Canis lupus familiaris: one gene and its partner. The protein of the gene in region 1 binds, or shares a complex with, the protein of each later gene. Links are inferred from orthologs where the notes say so. Each region holds a gene or a part of one and is shown in the gene's direction. Other genes may lie near its edges.

What was found. The genes of interacting proteins can lie anywhere in the genome.
Region 2: ADGRG1 (region 1) and CD81 share a complex: the UniProt entries of both Homo sapiens proteins name them as parts of the GPCR-tetraspanin complex. The link is inferred for Canis lupus familiaris from reciprocal best matches to the Homo sapiens genes ADGRG1 and CD81.

The regions. Positions count from the first base shown.
Region 1 is NC_049223.1:58,074,303-58,081,971, reverse strand, and holds the end of ADGRG1 (adhesion G-protein coupled receptor G1), read left to right. Parts: intron 1-1,230; coding exon 1,231-1,499; intron 1,500-2,448; coding exon 2,449-2,557; intron 2,558-2,786; coding exon 2,787-3,055; intron 3,056-4,012; coding exon 4,013-4,143; 3' UTR 4,144-5,341; downstream 5,342-7,669. UniProt on the Homo sapiens protein: Adhesion G-protein coupled receptor (aGPCR) for steroid hormone 17alpha-hydroxypregnenolone (17-OH), which is involved in cell adhesion and cell-cell interactions.
Region 2 is NC_049239.1:46,920,399-46,928,186, forward strand, and holds part of CD81 (CD81 antigen), read left to right. Parts: intron 1-1,011; exon of another isoform or gene 1,012-1,030; intron 1,031-2,439; coding exon 2,440-2,554; intron 2,555-5,719; coding exon 5,720-5,817; intron 5,818-6,446; coding exon 6,447-6,521; intron 6,522-6,870; coding exon 6,871-6,975; intron 6,976-7,389; coding exon 7,390-7,491; intron 7,492-7,788. UniProt on the Homo sapiens protein: Structural component of specialized membrane microdomains known as tetraspanin-enriched microdomains (TERMs), which act as platforms for receptor clustering and signaling.

The DNA.
Region 1 (7,669 bases):
GCACAGCCTCGAGAGTTCTGTCCAGCGCCCTGTTGTCCAGTGTCTGACTGCAGGCCTGGCCCCTGTGGCATTCCGGCTTGACAGGGCCTACTGCACCCCCACCCCAGGGGCTGTCTGTCACTCCATTTCTGTCATTGCGGTGCCTTGGGGAGGGAGGAGCCCCACGGACAGGATGAAGAGCGCCTTTATGCCTCCTCACGCCGGCTGTGTGGACGGGTCTGGATTGTCAGGGCTGGGCCTGAGGTGCACCGTGGTCAGGGCCCGGGCCCGTTTGTGTGGAGGGGAGACATTCTAAGCACCCGGAGCGTGCTCGCTGTTCTCGGGTGGAGGACAGGAGGGTGAGGCTGCGTGTCTGCGTGTGCCTAAGAGGTGGTGTTGTGTGAGCTCACAGCTGTGCACGGTGGGGCTGGAGCAGTGACAAGGGACAGCAGGCAGGCTCAGGGCACAAGCCCCCAGCACCTACCCATGCATCGCTAGAGTGTCCAGGGGCCCAGGGACAGAGAACCTTACGGACTGGAGTGTTTTACCTGTGCCTGATGCTTTACCTTGGTGGGGGGGGGGACGCCCTCCCACTTCACAGATGAGTGAGCTGAGGGTGAGGGGGAAGGGAGCAGCCCAGGGAGATACCTAGGGCCACGGGTGGGCATGGCTCTTGTTCCTTCTGGAACAGGTAGCAGGAGGTGGTGCTGGGCAGATCACAGGTGGGGGTTTGGAGGGCCAGGGAGGTAACGCCGGCAGTGTTTGGATCCTGTCGAGTCCTGGGTGTGGGGGGTGGCGGGGCTGTGCACACACAGACTTGCAGCCCTGAAGACAGACAGACATACCCCACCCCGCCATACTCACAGCCTCACAGTCACATGGTTGTGCAGACAGATGGGCAGACACAGGACACAGTGGCACGGAGTCTCCAAAACAGCAACAAATGCGGAGTCTTTCCCCTCCAACTTTGGGAGTATCTGGCTGGTTGCAGTGGCCAGATTTGTCTTGCTTGTTGTCTGTGGCTGAATCTGTTGTTGAATATGCACACGGTGCCCGACCTGTGGGTCCTGGGCACACAGTAGGTGCTCAGGGACTCGTGGGAGATGACCTGGCTGCAGCCATAGGAACAGGAGAGGGTGTGCGTGTGTAGTCTGGGAAGGCTGCCTGGAGGAGGAGTGCTGCCCGCACCTCCCCAAGTGGGCCACCATGGTGACCCTATGCGCCCGCCGCCCCTCCCCGCCCCCACCGCAGGAGGAAGTCTCGGGATTACACCATCAAGGTGCACATGAACTTGCTGCTGGCTGTCTTCCTGCTGGATGTGAGCTTCCTGCTGAGCGAGCCGGTGGCCCTGGCCGGCTCCGAGGCTGGCTGCCGCGCCAGCGCCATCTTCCTGCACTTCTCTCTGCTCTCCTGCCTCTCCTGGATGGGCCTGGAGGGCTACAACCTCTACCGACTCGTGGTTGAGGTCTTCGGCACCTACGTCCCCGGCTACCTGCTCAAGCTGAGCATCATGGGCTGGGGTAGGTGGGCAGAGGGCGCTGGCAGGCCCCCCACGCCTGCCTCTTCTACTCGACTTCCTTTACCCATACATCCTCAGGTGTTCTTGGCCTTGGCTGGGTTAAGGACCCCTTTGGGAAGATGAAGTGCTGAGCACTGCCCCCAGAAACACATACTCTTCACATTGCTCACTTTTTAAAAGGAAGGTTTGCAGACAGCCACCATGTATGGATGTGCAGGTTGTGTACTGCTCAAAGGCACCCCGTTGGGGGATGAGTGGGCCGTAATCCCGTCCTCCACTCATCTAATGCACCCAGGCTGGCAGTGGCTCTGTCTGTGGATCCTCCAGCGCTTCAGATAACAGATTCTCCATAGCTCTGGTGTTTGTTCTTGGCCAAGACCACCCAGTTTACCATGGCCCAGACCTCTCAGGCCTGGAGGCCCAGGGGGCACACCACGAGTCCTTGTGGATGTTGCAGCAGCCCCCAAACTCCACATTCCCTCACCCAGCTTGCTGCTCCTCTGTGTTTCTCATCTGTCCCATTCTTGATTCACTCCATTGATTTACACAAAATCCCTTCAGAGTTGGCTCTGTGTCAAGACCTGGGTGTTTGGTGCTGGGTGACCACTTCTGGAGAGTCCTCGGTCCCCAGCTGGTGGGCAAAGTCGAGGCCCAGTGCAGAAGTCCCCTTTCCAGCTACCCCCCACCCCCCAGTCTGTGCCCCCGTCTCCTTGTGACGTCCTGCCCCCCAGCAGGGAAGCTCAGACCTTCTCTCCAGGGATGGAGGCCCAGGGGGCCCAGGATGGTGAGGGGGAAGGGGCAAGCCAGGGCGATGGGGCTCTCTATGGGAAACCTAAACTGGAGTGGGGGAGGGGAGGGTCTGATCACGGAGGACCCTCCTGGAGGAGGGGAGGGGAGGGGAGGGCACCCCCAGGCGGTGGGAGATGGAACTGCACGCTTGCTGCCGGCAGGCTTCCCTGTCTTCCTGGTGATGTTGGTGGCGCTGGTGGACATCAGTAACTATGGCCCCATCATCCTGGCTGTGCACAGGACTCCGGAGAGTGTCATCTACCCTTCCATGTGAGTGGCTGAGTGCGTGGGGGCGGGAACACGAGCCTGGGAGTGCGGAGCCACACTGCCACACTGACCTCGGGGCTCCTGGGCGCCAGGGCTGCTGGAGGCCTTGGCCTGGCAGGGAAGGTGGTGAAGGCGGCTCCCCGGCCCTCGGGGCCCCTGTGACGCACACCCACAGCCCAGAAGCACGGCACCAGCCCTGTCACCCCCTGAGCCCTCATGTCTTTGCTGTCAGGTGCTGGATCCGGGACTCCCTGGTCAGCCATGTCACCAACCTGGGCCTCTTCAGCCTGGTGTTTCTGTTCAACATGGCCATGCTGGGCACCATGGTGGTGCAGATCCTGCGGCTGCGCCCGCATGCTCACAAGTGGCCCCACGTGCTCACGCTGCTGGGGCTCAGCCTGGTCCTCGGTTTACCCTGGGCCTTGGTCTTCTTCTCCTTTGCTTCTGGCACCTTCCAGCTTGTGGTCCTCTACTTATTCAGCATCATCACCTCCTTCCAAGGTAGGCACAGAGAAGACCACCACCCCGGCCCCGGGTAGGGTACCCACGTGTGGAGTACGGGGCTGGGAAGATAGGGAGCCAACCCTGAAGGCTTCTCTGGGCCTCGGTCTTCCCATCTGTAAAATGGGGGCACCCAGGCCATAGTTGACAAGTCTTTATTGAGTACCTAGGACGTGGAGGCCCTGTGTGAAAACTTGGGGCTGCATCTGTGAACTAAGACTTGAACTCCTCTGGGTATCAGCCTCGTGGGGAGCTTGCTAGATGTGTAGACTCTGGCCATGCCAGACTTACTGAATCAGATCTGCACTGTAACAGATGCCCAGGGTGTGTGTGTGTGTGTGTGTGTGTGTGTGTGTGTGTGTCACAGGCTGCGGAGCTCTGGTCTAAGAGAGTGCTGGGCAGAGGGAGATGCAAGAGCCAAGGTCCTGAGGCTAAAACTAGGTGTGTGTTGGAAGGACAGTGAAGGGGAGCAAGGCTGAAGGGTAGCTGGGTAAGGGGCAGAGGGGAGGAGGGAAGGGGAGAGATGCAGAGGAGCTGGATCATGAGGGCTGGGGCTTGATGCCGGCAGGTCCCTCTACTGGGACCCCTCTACACCCCCTCCCCCACCAAGGACAGACAGACAGACATACACGCACACCCCTCTGTTCTGGCCGAGAGGTGCTTAAGCAGGTGTTCTGGAGCCTGAACACCACTGTTTAGCTCCTGGCTCAGTCAAGTCCCCTTACCTCCCTGTGCCTCAGTTTTCTCATTTGTGAAACAGAATAGTAATGAATAGGCCTGACCTCATGAGAATCTCGAGAGGATAAAGTGAGATGGGGCCCAGGAAATCTCAGTGTCTGGGGCACGGTGGGTGTTCCCTTGATCACATGGGTGCTGGTAGCCTGTAGGGAGGAGGGGAGGGAAGGGGCAGGGCTGCCCGCCCCCCCGCTGAACCCCATGCCCCCTCCCTGCCCACAGGCTTCTTCATCTTCCTCTGGTACTGGTCCATGCGGCTGCAGGCCCGGGGCGGGCCCTCGCCTCTGAAAAGCAGCTCGGACAGCGCCAGGCTCCCCATCAGTTCGGGCAGCACCTCGTCCAGCCGCATCTAGGCCACCAGCCACCCGCCAGAAGCTGCCTGAGGAACCAGAGATGGGGCTTGTCCTCACCACCACCTGCCACCCCCACAGCCAGGCCTGACACTTGATGGTCAGCCAGAGACTTGAGAGGAAGGCCCAAGGACCTTGGGGTGAGGGGGCTGTTGCCTTGGCAGCCAGACGCCCAGGCTCGGCCCTTTGAATTGGCCTGTGTACTACTCGGCTCTCCGGCCCCGCTTACAAGAGGCTCAGGAGTAGGACCTGTACCCCCACTGTCCTGAGGGCTGAAGGCTGGTCTTAACTCACCACCCCTGGGCCCAGCCCTCATTGCTGAGGATGGGAGGCCACAGGCCCCAAGGTCAAGACCTAGACCTGTGAGGCCTGGCACCATCCTTGGCCCTGTGCCCCAGCCCCGGACAGAATGTGCCAGAGCTACTGTCTCTGGTGAGCTCCACGAGGGCCCTCTGCGGTCCTGTCATTTTAGCCTGAGAGTGGTACTCAGGGCACACGAGTGTGGGGCAGAGCTTTGAGCCAGAGCCCTGGAGGAGGAGAGCCCCCTGCAGCAGCAGCTCCTCTACCTCTGAGCCCAGCACCTCAGCCTCCCCAGCCGCCATCCCTCTCCAGCCCCGGATTCAGCCAATTCCAGTGCTGTATTTTGGGTTGTGGTTGCCAAGAGCTGCTTGGTGCCTGCTGTAAACCTTTATCTACTGCACGGGCCTTTGCCTGCCTTTGACTCAGGCTTAGTATAGATGTTCTGGGCTGGGCCAGGTCTGTCTGTCCATCTGGGCCTTTCTATAGGCTGCCTTGCCCTTGTTCACCACTGCCAAGCCCACCCCTCACAGGGACTGTCAGCCTCTCCCAAAGCCCTCTTGTGGCAAGAACTGTGGAGCATAGCAGGGCAAATTTGCTTCTGCCCCAGTACTGGGAAGACTGAGGTGCGTCTCCCCTGGTGACCCTGGCCTAGAGCCTAACAGGCTCCTCAGGAGCTACAGGCACGGGATTAGGGATTGCTGGAGATCCAGGAAGACTTCCTGTAGGAGGCAACATTTGATCTGGCTCTCAGCCTTAAACATGGGGAGGACTTTCTTTTTAAGCACTAGCTCATTTGTCTTTTGAATTTAAAGAAGTAGATGTTCATTGTAGAGAATTTGGAAACTATAGAAGAAAAGAAATTAAAATCAGCTGTTGTTAATACCTAACAAACTAATGTAAACGTTTGGAGCGCTTCCTTTTGTGCTTCTATTAAGAGTCATTGATACAAACCCCTTAGGCCCAATCAGGAAACACAGATGAGAGAAGGTGGCCATGTGTGAAAAAAATCAACTGCTGGAAACTTTATCCACCAGGACAGGCAGGGGATAAAGGGTTCCTTGGCATCAGTGTTGGGAAGGCAGTGGGGAATGTTGGGGTCTGTGGTGGATTGGAGATGATTAACCCGATGCCGTGGGGCAGCAGCCACTCAGCTCCAGCCGCCCACTGCCCTGAGCAGGGATGCAGGGATGAAGGTCCATGTAGCCATACCACCCACCTTTTATGATAAATCAGGAATCGATTGTGTGGGCGCAAAATCCCTTGATTTAAAAGTCTGACTCATCCAGAAAATTCACTGGCCAAAGAAATCAGATGTGGGGACTGAATTCAGCCCTTGGATGGTCATGTGACGTACGGAACCGGTTTGTGGGCTGGAATGAAGTAGGTGGGCTGCAAGAAGCAATGATTGGACTTGCCTCCCATCACCACCTCCAGCCCAGTTCCGTCCAAGCTGCTGTGCCCGTGCCCCGTGGCTCAGGCAAGGAGGATCTGTGCGGCTCGGTTGCGAGAGGAGCGGCGTCTGAGCCCAGCTGTGTGCATCCAGGTCCACCCCGAGCTTCTGCCCAGCGCAGCCGCCTCCCTCGTCTCCTGGCTGCTCCAGGGGGATGACGGGCTGGGGGAAATGGACAGGATGGGTGCAAGGCCACCTTAGCCATGGAGAGTAGACTGGCAGTGCCCTCTGATGGGTGACTGTGGGATCCGGAGACCTGCGGGGACCTCGGCACGCAGCGCCTCCCTGTGCCCGGCTTCTCTTCCAATGCTCTCTGCTCCTCTGTCCCGTTGGCTTCTGCCTCCACTTTCTGCGAGTCCTGAGGACAGAGGCAAGCCTGGCCCCCAGTGCCCTGCTTGGGCAGATTGGGTGGGGGGTCAGAGCCAGCTCCCTCCTCACAGGCCTCTCAGTCTCTGCAGGAAGGTCTCCTGGAGCGCCACACCTTGGCTAGACCTGGGGGCACGTCCTCCCATCCTCAGGGAGGGAAGGAAAGGACCCAGCTCCCTGCTGCCCCCCCGCCCGGCAGAGAGCACTCCCTTCAAACACATTCTCCCACTTTGGAGAGCTCTTGCATTTTAGGTTTTGTGTTTGAGGCTGGCTCAGGTAGCAGGGAAAGGGGTCTCGGGTCGGATCCCACCTTCTCGGGACAGGTGCTGGACAGGCCCCTCGACGGCTCTTCTCATGCTCTTCAGCGGGCCGTGGGGCCTCAGACAGCAGGACCGCTCTTCTCAGGACACAACCAGGTTTGCGTGTGGGGACGTTGCTCTGGTGTGGGAAACGCACTGAAGAGGCCAGAAGGGCAAATGTGGGCTGGGCCTGGCCAGAAGCCTGGAGGCCTTGTCCCTAGAGACAGAAGCCCACCTGGAGCCACGGGGACAAATCAGTGGTGAGAGGAGGTGGCAGAAAGGGAAGTTATAGTTCCCTGTGTGCTGGGATTTGGAGGTCCCGGGGCTCTGTCCATGGCTCCAGGCCAGCCCCCAGCCCCGATGGGGCCTAGGAGGGGTGGCCCTCCCCCTGGCCCTGTCCAGCTATCTTGGCCACTTTGCCAGCCCGCCGCCCCCTGTCCTGTTTTTCCAGGTATGCTGGACACTCTGGGTGCCTCCTTCTGGGCCCTTCTTCACACACAGGCCCCCATGAGCCCCTTTGAGGGCCCTGGTACTAGCATGGGTCTGCAGCGATAGTGCCAGCCAGTGGCAGTTCCCAAAGCCCTTGTCTGCCATCTCGCCTCACCTGGCTGCCGCTGGGAGGGAGGGGGAACGGGCCGTGCTTCCCATCTGGCCCCAAGTCTTCCCTGCAGAGGAAGTGCCTGGGACACCGTGCCAGATTCCCACCTGCCACCCCCGTCCCAGGAGTGACGCCGCTGACATCCTCTTCCCAACACTCTCCAGGTCCAGGGGGCCCAGAAGGGGACTGATTCCTGCCTGGACACTGTGTGGGAGGAAGAGGCTGGGTGGGTCCTCAGACCCCCATGGTAGAGCATGTGGCGCACTGGCCCTGGAGGGGAGGGGATGCTGGGAGGATGCGCCTTCTTGGCAGGGTGTTCCTACCCTTGATCTTGCAGTGACCATGGGACCATGCCAAAGGCCCTGGCCTTATCCACAGAGCCACCAGATCTGGGGCCTGAGTGGTCAGCCCCTCCCCTTCCCTCGTGGCACTCCCCATGTGTGTCTGCTGCTCTCACTTCCTGTCTGGGCCACCGGTGACTGGTTGGATGATATGACAGTAATTGCACAGTACTGA
Region 2 (7,788 bases), on another chromosome or scaffold:
GCAGATGGGGGGACAGGAGCCCTCCCTTCCCTGAAGATGGCTTTCCAACCCCCTCTGGGGCAGGGTGCCACCTGGGTGGGCCTCTCCCTTGCAGGCGACCTGAGGTGAACATCTCCCTGCCACGTGGGTTTCCTCATCTGGAAATGGGATGGTCCTCCCACCACTGTGTTCGCCTGGCCCCACCCAGGGGTCTGCTCAGGGAGGGCAGACTGGGGTAGCAACTGGGGGCACATCAGCACCAGGCCCTCCCCAGCTCCAAAGGTGGGACCAGCTTCCCTGTTGTTACCCCGCAGGTGTGAGGGCCTGGGGGCCACAGAGGAGTCTGCAGGAAAGCCCTTCCAAAGGGGCAGAGGTGGCAGCTGGGGGTTAGGAGGAGTACAGTCCCAACCACACTTTTGTTAGGACTGTGCACCCCAAGACACTTGTCTCCCCAGCTCCTGGGGTGAAGGGGCTGCACAAGGAGCAGTCCCAGCCTGGCCAGGGGGCCTGCACCGCTGCGCTGATGGGGATGGGGAGGCTGAGTTGGGGCTTGTGTCCAGGGCTCTGGGACTACAGAGGGACTACAGAGGGAGGCCCAGGACAGGGGCTTCCCCACCCCTCCCCCTCCGCCCTGGAACATCTCACAAAGGCAGCTCTGGACCACAGTTTCAAAACAGAACAAGTAACGGTTTCAAGCCAGAGTTACCACGGCAACCCTCAGCCTCGTTGCGCCGCCTCCCTTGGAGCCGCAGATGGCAGCCACCTCGGGAGGAGCTGAGGGCTCTGGGGCGCCCGCCCTGCCCCCACTGTCCCATGGGCCCTCTGGCCTCTCCTGTCAGTGACAGGTGTCACAGAGAGGCACAGGGTGCTGGGAGCCCAGGGCCCTGCCCTTGGAGGGCTGTGCGGTGTCCACAGGGCCGTGGGAGGGGACCCTGGCCAGAGCAGGTGCACAGTAGGCCCTTGGTGGACCTCCCCATACTTGCTGGAGTACAGGATGGAGCTGCAGAGCCTTGGCTGGCCCTCCCTGACCAGACCTGGAACTTTGGGAGAGGTGTGCTGGGAAACAGAAACCCCAGGCTGGAGGGGCGTGGACAGAGCACCCTCGCTTGGTGTGTGGAAGCCAGCCCCCCACCCCCAGTCTTACCAGTAGCTGAGCCCAGAGGAGAAAGGCCTGGGCAGCTGCTGGGGCTTTTTGTGGGGCGGCCCGCAGTGCTGAGGCTCAGTCACTCATGCCCCACTGAGCAGGTTGGCCCCACCCACCATGTCAGGGGTCTGCTCCCTGGCCGGGCCTCGGGGCAGGTGCTTTCCTTGAGGTCTACTTCTCAGTTTCTGCTCCCCGTAGGTCACATAGCTCTGGTCCTGTTGCAGGGGCAGGGGGCTGGGGTCAGTGTCTGGTGCTGTGGAGGCAGGTTGGGGGATGGCCTCAGTTGCCAGGCCACGCATGGTAGGAAGAGGAAGCCAGGAGCGGATGGCTGCGCAGCTAGGCCCTCCAGCCTGCGCCAAGGCTTGTAGCCCTGGGAGCAGATTCCACCTCAGTGGGGCATCCAGGGCTGGGACAGCCCGGCAGAGAGGAGGCCAGGGACCTGGAAGGTGGCCCGGAGGGCAGCAGGCCACTGGCTTGGGCTGGTGAGATGCTCATGTGTAGGCCAGGCCCTGGTCTTTGTTTCCCTTCAGGGCCTCCCCCTCCCCACCCTCCGTAGGTGCCCTGTGCTCGAAGGACGGTGAGTCTCTGAAGGGCCTACCAGAGCTGGAAGCTCCTGTTCTCCTGCCAGGCTCTGAGCACAGTCCCCTTTCCTGCCCCAGCTGCTCGGGCAGCCCCTCCCCTGGCCTCTGGGAGCACAGCGTGCTTCCTTCCTCCTGTAGCGGCTTCCCTTCCCAGGGCTGACAGCAGCAAGGATTTATCCCACAGACGGCCGGGCCCCTCGCCCTGCAGCTTCCTGGATGCCACCAGCCTCTGCGGCCTCGCCTTATCTAGTTCCTCCATCAGCCCCACCAGGGCCCTGGTGGCATCAGATCCCCACCCCTCTCTCTCTGGGCACCAAAGACTTGGAGTCCCCTCCATGGGGTTCCCAGATGAGCACAGGGCTGCTGAAGCCACCCCCTTGGAGGAGGGCCTAGCAGTCCCTGGGGTGCTCAGGTCTGGTGTGGACTGTGGCCGGATTAGCAAGTAAAAATAAAGGACATCCAGTTGAATTTGAGCTCCAGATAAAATATAAGTGCTGTTTTGACAGAAGTGTGCCCCATCAGTATCAGGGATGTGGGCCCATATCCAGGCCTTCCTTCCTGGGGCATCCCAAACACCAGGTCAGTGAAACAGACATGTGGAGCCACCTGGAGGGGGCTGCCCTGGACCCACTGGCCAGTCGAGCCGAGGGTCCCACACCTGCCTCAGTGGGCATTCAGGGGATGGTATAGCCCACCTCAGCACTGCAAGTAACCCTGGACCCGTTCTTTCCCCAGTTGGCTGGAGGCGTGATCCTGGGTGTGGCCCTGTGGCTGCGCCATGACCCACAGACCACCAACCTCCTCTATCTGGAGCTCGGGGACAGGCCTGCACCCAACACCTTCTATGTAGGTAAGTGCATGTGGGGTGGGCCCAGAACCTGGCTGGCACTGGGCTGGGGGCCAGCAGGAACGAGATCCACCAGGGTGTCTGCCAACAGGTGGTCAGGAAGGGCTTCCAGGAGGAGGCAGGGCATGGGCCAGGCCAGTGGGGCTTGCTGCAGTGCTGGGCTGCTGGGTGTGGAGGAGGCCTGCCAGCGGGGGCTCTTGGGGAGAGAGAGTGAGACAGAGATACTGTGGGTGGAGTCAGGTCAGCCTGGGGCCCTGGGGGGGGGGGGCGTTCGGAGGTGGTCCAGCCTGGCTGGGTGGGGGGTGCATGGGGCAGGAACCAGGCTGCCAGGCAAGTCTGGAACATCCCAGGGTGTGTGGGTGGTTGGGACTCACCAGTTGGCCTCTGGGGGCGGACTCGGGGCAGGAGGGGGAGCTGTCTCATGGTGGGTATTTCAGGGGAGGCTCCCTGGGCAGGGGCGGGGCTGGATGCCTGCCTGGGCTGCTGAGGCCCCTGAGGGGAGGGGGACTCTGGGCCCGGGGTGGGGCAGGGGCCAGTGTGCCTCAGGCCTCCCCAGCCACACCTTGCTGCCTTATTAGGCTGCGTGTCTGCCTCCCAGGCAGCAGCTGTGCCCTCAGGGTGTCCGTGGGGCTGGGGGTTGAGCCCCCACCCCTGCCCCCCCTTGCCTTGCAGAGCTGCACTCCTCCTTAGGTTGGTCCTGAGCCAGCGGGAGGCAGGGCCTGGCCCTCATGGGGCTCTGGAAGTCTTGTTTCTGTCCTTTAAAGGAAGGCCTGGCATGGCCCTCCTCCTCCCCAAAGGCCTAGCAGCAGGGCAGGAAGTATGTGTAGGCCTCTAGGTTGCGGGGCTCTGTATTAGGACCAGAGCCACCCCACTGGCCTGGTGCAGTGCGTGTGGCCTCGACAGGGTCTAGGTCCTTCCCAGCTGGTGTTCGGTGCCCCCCCACACACACACACACTTAGGATCACACTCGGTTGCTGGAGTGGGGATGGCCCAGGACACCCCAGGAGCATAGGGGGCATGTATGCCCCATCCCAGCCCATGACCCTCTGTGACCTGCAGGGTCGAGAGGTCTGACCCCGGAGCATCAATGAGGTGGCCCCTTTCTTCCCTGGAGATGGGAGCCTGTGGCTCTGGCAGTGGCCTCCGAGGGCCAGCTGACCTGGGGCGGGGGGGGGGGGGGGAGGGCGGGCTCCCAGGCCTCTGTCTCCAGATTCCTAGGCTCCCCTGGGTGGTGGGGCCTCTCCCAGGTTTGAGTCTCTGGAGGACAGGGCCCCTCTGCTTGCCTGCTCCAGGGATGCACATGGGGACCCCCACCAGGGCCTGGGCACCCTCAGGAGTGGGACTTTCAGCTTTGCCCACTTGTCCTACAGGCCTGCCTCCCCTTCCCCACAACCACTGGGCAGGACCCCACATCCTGCCTGTGGGCTGCTGCTGTCTGTGCGCCCTCTCCAGGACCCAGCATGCCATGGGTGTGGGCAGTGGTTTGGGAAGGGGTCACCCTCCTGCCCCATGGCCAGAGCTGCTCCTGCACTTATAGCCCTCCGTCTGGCCCAGCATGGTAGAGGAGCTGAAGGCTCCCTGGGTGCAGGCCAGGTATGGGCTGGGCAGGCTGGGGACACTGGTCACAGGCTCGGGCCCAGGCTGGGAGGAGTGAGGCTGCAGGACTGTGCCCGAGCTCCTGCGGGGAAGAGGTCCCATAGGAGAAGCTTATAGGGGGCAAAGTGGGTGTTGTCCAGAGGCTGTCCCTCACAGCTACTACACTGGGCTGTTGCCATGAGGCTGACCTTGGCTTACACACTGAGGGGAGCCTGCCCTGGGGAGGCACCTGGAGGGCGGAGTGGAGGCAGGGCCTGTCAGCCCTAGGCCTGAGCTGCTACTGTGTCCCCCATGGGCTGCTGTGTCCCCGCCCATCAAGGACTGGTCTTCTAGAGCCTCCCGCTGGCCCCAAGGTGGGCCAGGCCTGCCAGGGCGGTGGGGGAGCAGATGTAGGCCCTGACAAGGGTTCTTTGTCTGATGCTGGCAGAGGGGCAGGTTAGCAGGGCACACTCAACACCCCAGGCAATGCCACAGGGCCTGGTGGGTCCCCAGCCACACTTGTGGGAACCAGACCCCGGGGTTCTCGAGGAGCTGCGGGTCAGACGCCTGCCCCCGGGTGTCCGGCCCCTGGCATGACCTAGAACATCTGGCAGCTCCTCCCTGCACCTGTTGCAGTGTGCCCAAGCTCCCGTAGTGAGACAGGATTGGGGACCCGGGGACCCATGTTTCCTTGAGGTCCGAGGGCAGGGAGACTGAGCTGCAGGGTGCTGTGCCCCCTGGGCAGGAAGCCCCTGAGCCAGCCATGGCCGGAGGCCTCTCTTCCGCCAGGTCCACCAAGTGCTGTCCAGAGGCTTTGGCCAGGAGGAGGCCCTCGGCCATTTCCCAGCACAGTGTTTGGGCCTGGATGCCAGGCTGGCCAGACCCTGGAACCTGGGACCTTGGCTGTATGGACAGGGGCTTGGGCTGCTGTGATGGCAGGGGGACAGGCCCAGGCCCAGGATTGCTGGAAGGCCACAGTTGGCGTCTCCCAGTGGTCTCAGGGCCCTGTGTGGGTGGGCCAGGGGAACCTGCACTCCCCTGTGGTGGCCCTCCCTGCTTGCCCAGGAGCTCGTACCCAGCCTGGTGGGCAGCCCCTGTGTGCTGTCACCACGCCATCCTCCATGGGGCCAGGCCCCCTCATCCAGCAGGCTCCGGTCCCTGGGATCAGAGCCTCGGAAGCTGGCTCAAGCCCTCCTGGGGTTATGTCCCCTCCTCTCCCCTTGAGCCAAGAGCAGGGCCCTGTGCACCTGGAGAGGATGATCCTTTGTGGTCATCACCTCATCCCAGGGGCTCTCGGGAACCAGAGTGGGTGCAGGCTGCACGGGCCTCACCCCGGGAGCAGTTCCGTGTGAAGCTCTGAGGGCAGAGCCTTCTGAGTGCTCGCCCCTGCCGGTCAGTCCCACCGGGCCCCCTCAGCGGCCTGGCTCCAGGTGCAGACATGCAGGGGGGTGCTCACTCCGACGGCCAGGCCGCAGTGCCCTCCACTAGGGCAGGGGGGCCCAAGTCCTGGGCTGGGGGTGGGACGCATGGCTGGAGAGGGGCCGTGGCCTTTGGGACGCTGCTCACTGAGGGTGTCCCTGCTCTCCCACAAAGGCATCTACATCCTCATCGCCGTGGGCGCTGTGATGATGTTCGTTGGGTTCCTGGGCTGCTATGGGGCCATCCAGGAGTCCCAGTGCCTGCTGGGGACGGTAAGGTCGTGAGTGGGGCTGGGGGACACAGAGACAGAGCCTGGAGCTCTGCTGGGTGCATCCCTTGCCAGTGTGGGAGGCCGTGGAGGGGGGCTCGCAGGGCAGCCTGGGGACCTAGCCCAGAACGTCAGCCCCAACGTCCCTTTCTGGTCCTGAAATCCGGTCCTGGTTGACTGCTGGGATGTCTGGTTCCAAACTCAGAGTTCCACAGTTTTCCTCTCTGGTTTTAGTAAAAAGCCAGAAACAATAGGGCCATGTCCCTTGGGCCAACCTCCACGGGGACACAGAGGCCCAGGCAGTCGGGAAACGGGGCAGTGGGTGGCCGTGTCACGATGCTCCCTTCCCGTGGGCAGAGGGAGAAGTGGGGTGTGGAAGGGGCTTCCTTGGGACCCCAGCCCCAGCCTGTAGGGCTGCTGAGAACACTGGCATGTCACTGCTGGGACTGACTCTTCCCCCTCGCTGCTTTTCACCTCCGCACGGCTGCTCCCTGGATGGGACGTGCGGAGTGGAGGCCAACCCCACACATGCACCTGCGGGTCACTCGGACGTCCGGCATCTGCGTGACCCCACGCCTGTTCTCACCCCGCATGTCTCTGCCCTCCCCTCTGGGTCCTGCATGGCCTTCCCAGTTCTTCACCTGCCTCGTCATCCTGTTTGCCTGTGAAGTAGCTGCCGGCATCTGGGGCTTTGTCAACAAAGACCAGGTGAGCCCGGGATCACGGTGGTGGGGCCCATCCCAGCAGGGTCAGGAGGGAGGGGTGCCCGCCTGCTGCTCAGGTTGGGCCTACCCTGGGATCGCAGGGTGCTCTTTGGGGCTCCCCCTGGGGCCTGCCTGGTAGAAAGGCCACGGAGGGCTTTCTGGAGGAGGTGGCGCGGGGGCTGAGGAGAAGGCAGGGCCACCTGTCTCCCAGCCTCGAGTGGTGATGGGGGGCAATCCTGGTCTACCCTGGAAGCATTATCTTCTCAAGAGAGCCAGGTGAACCGCTTGCCCCCCTCTCTGGGGTGGTCCTTGCTGTGGGGTGACCTCGGCCCTCCCGCACACCCTCCCCCCAGATCGCCAAGGATGTGAAGCAATTCTACGACCAGGCTCTGCAGCAGGCCGTGGTGGACGACGAAGCCAACAATGCCAAGGCCGTGGTGAAGACCTTCCATGAGACGGTGCGGCAGGGGGTGCTGGGGGTGCAGGAGGGTTGTCCTCCGTGAGTGAGGCCTGGCTGGGGTTGAATCTGGTCTCCGTGGGGCACTGGAGACCTGGAAGCCCTTCTCCTGGAGGGCCGTGGAGCCCTATCTGGGACCCCCCCCCCCCCCCCGCCCAGGGGATTGTCTGGGACCTGCAGGTCCCCTGTGTGAGCCAGATGGGCAGTAGGAAGGCCTGGGTGTGGGGGTCTCTGAGCAGCACAGCCAAGGGTGGAGGGGATGAGGAGTCCTGGGCTGTTCTTCTTGAGGAGCAGACCCTCCCTGGCTGGGGACACCCCTGGGGCTTGGGCAGCCCACGGGGTGTATGTCCCTGGCCGTGTCCCTGTGGTCCTCTGTGCACACGGCCCGGGCTGACCGCAGGTGTCCTCCGTGCAGCTCAACTGCTGTGGCTCCAGCACGCTCTCCGCGCTCACCACCTCCATGCTCAAGAACAGCCTGTGTCCCTCTGGCAGCAACGTCATTAGCAACTTGTTCAAGGTACATGGAGCCCACTGGGCCGCCCAGGGTTGGCCCCACGTCGCGTCCAGCAGCCCAGCTGGGTTGGGCCCCTGGCTCTGCACACAGCACCTTCCGTTTCCACATCTGCTTTATTTATTTTAAACATTTTGAGAGAGAGAGTGAGCGAGAGGGAGAGGGAGAGAGAGAGAGAGAGAGAGAACACGAGCAGGAGGAGGGGCAGAGGGAGAAGCAGACTCCCTGCTAAGCAGGGAGCCCAACATGGGGATTGATCCCAGAACCCGGGACCTGCCCTGAACCCAAGACAGATGCTTCACC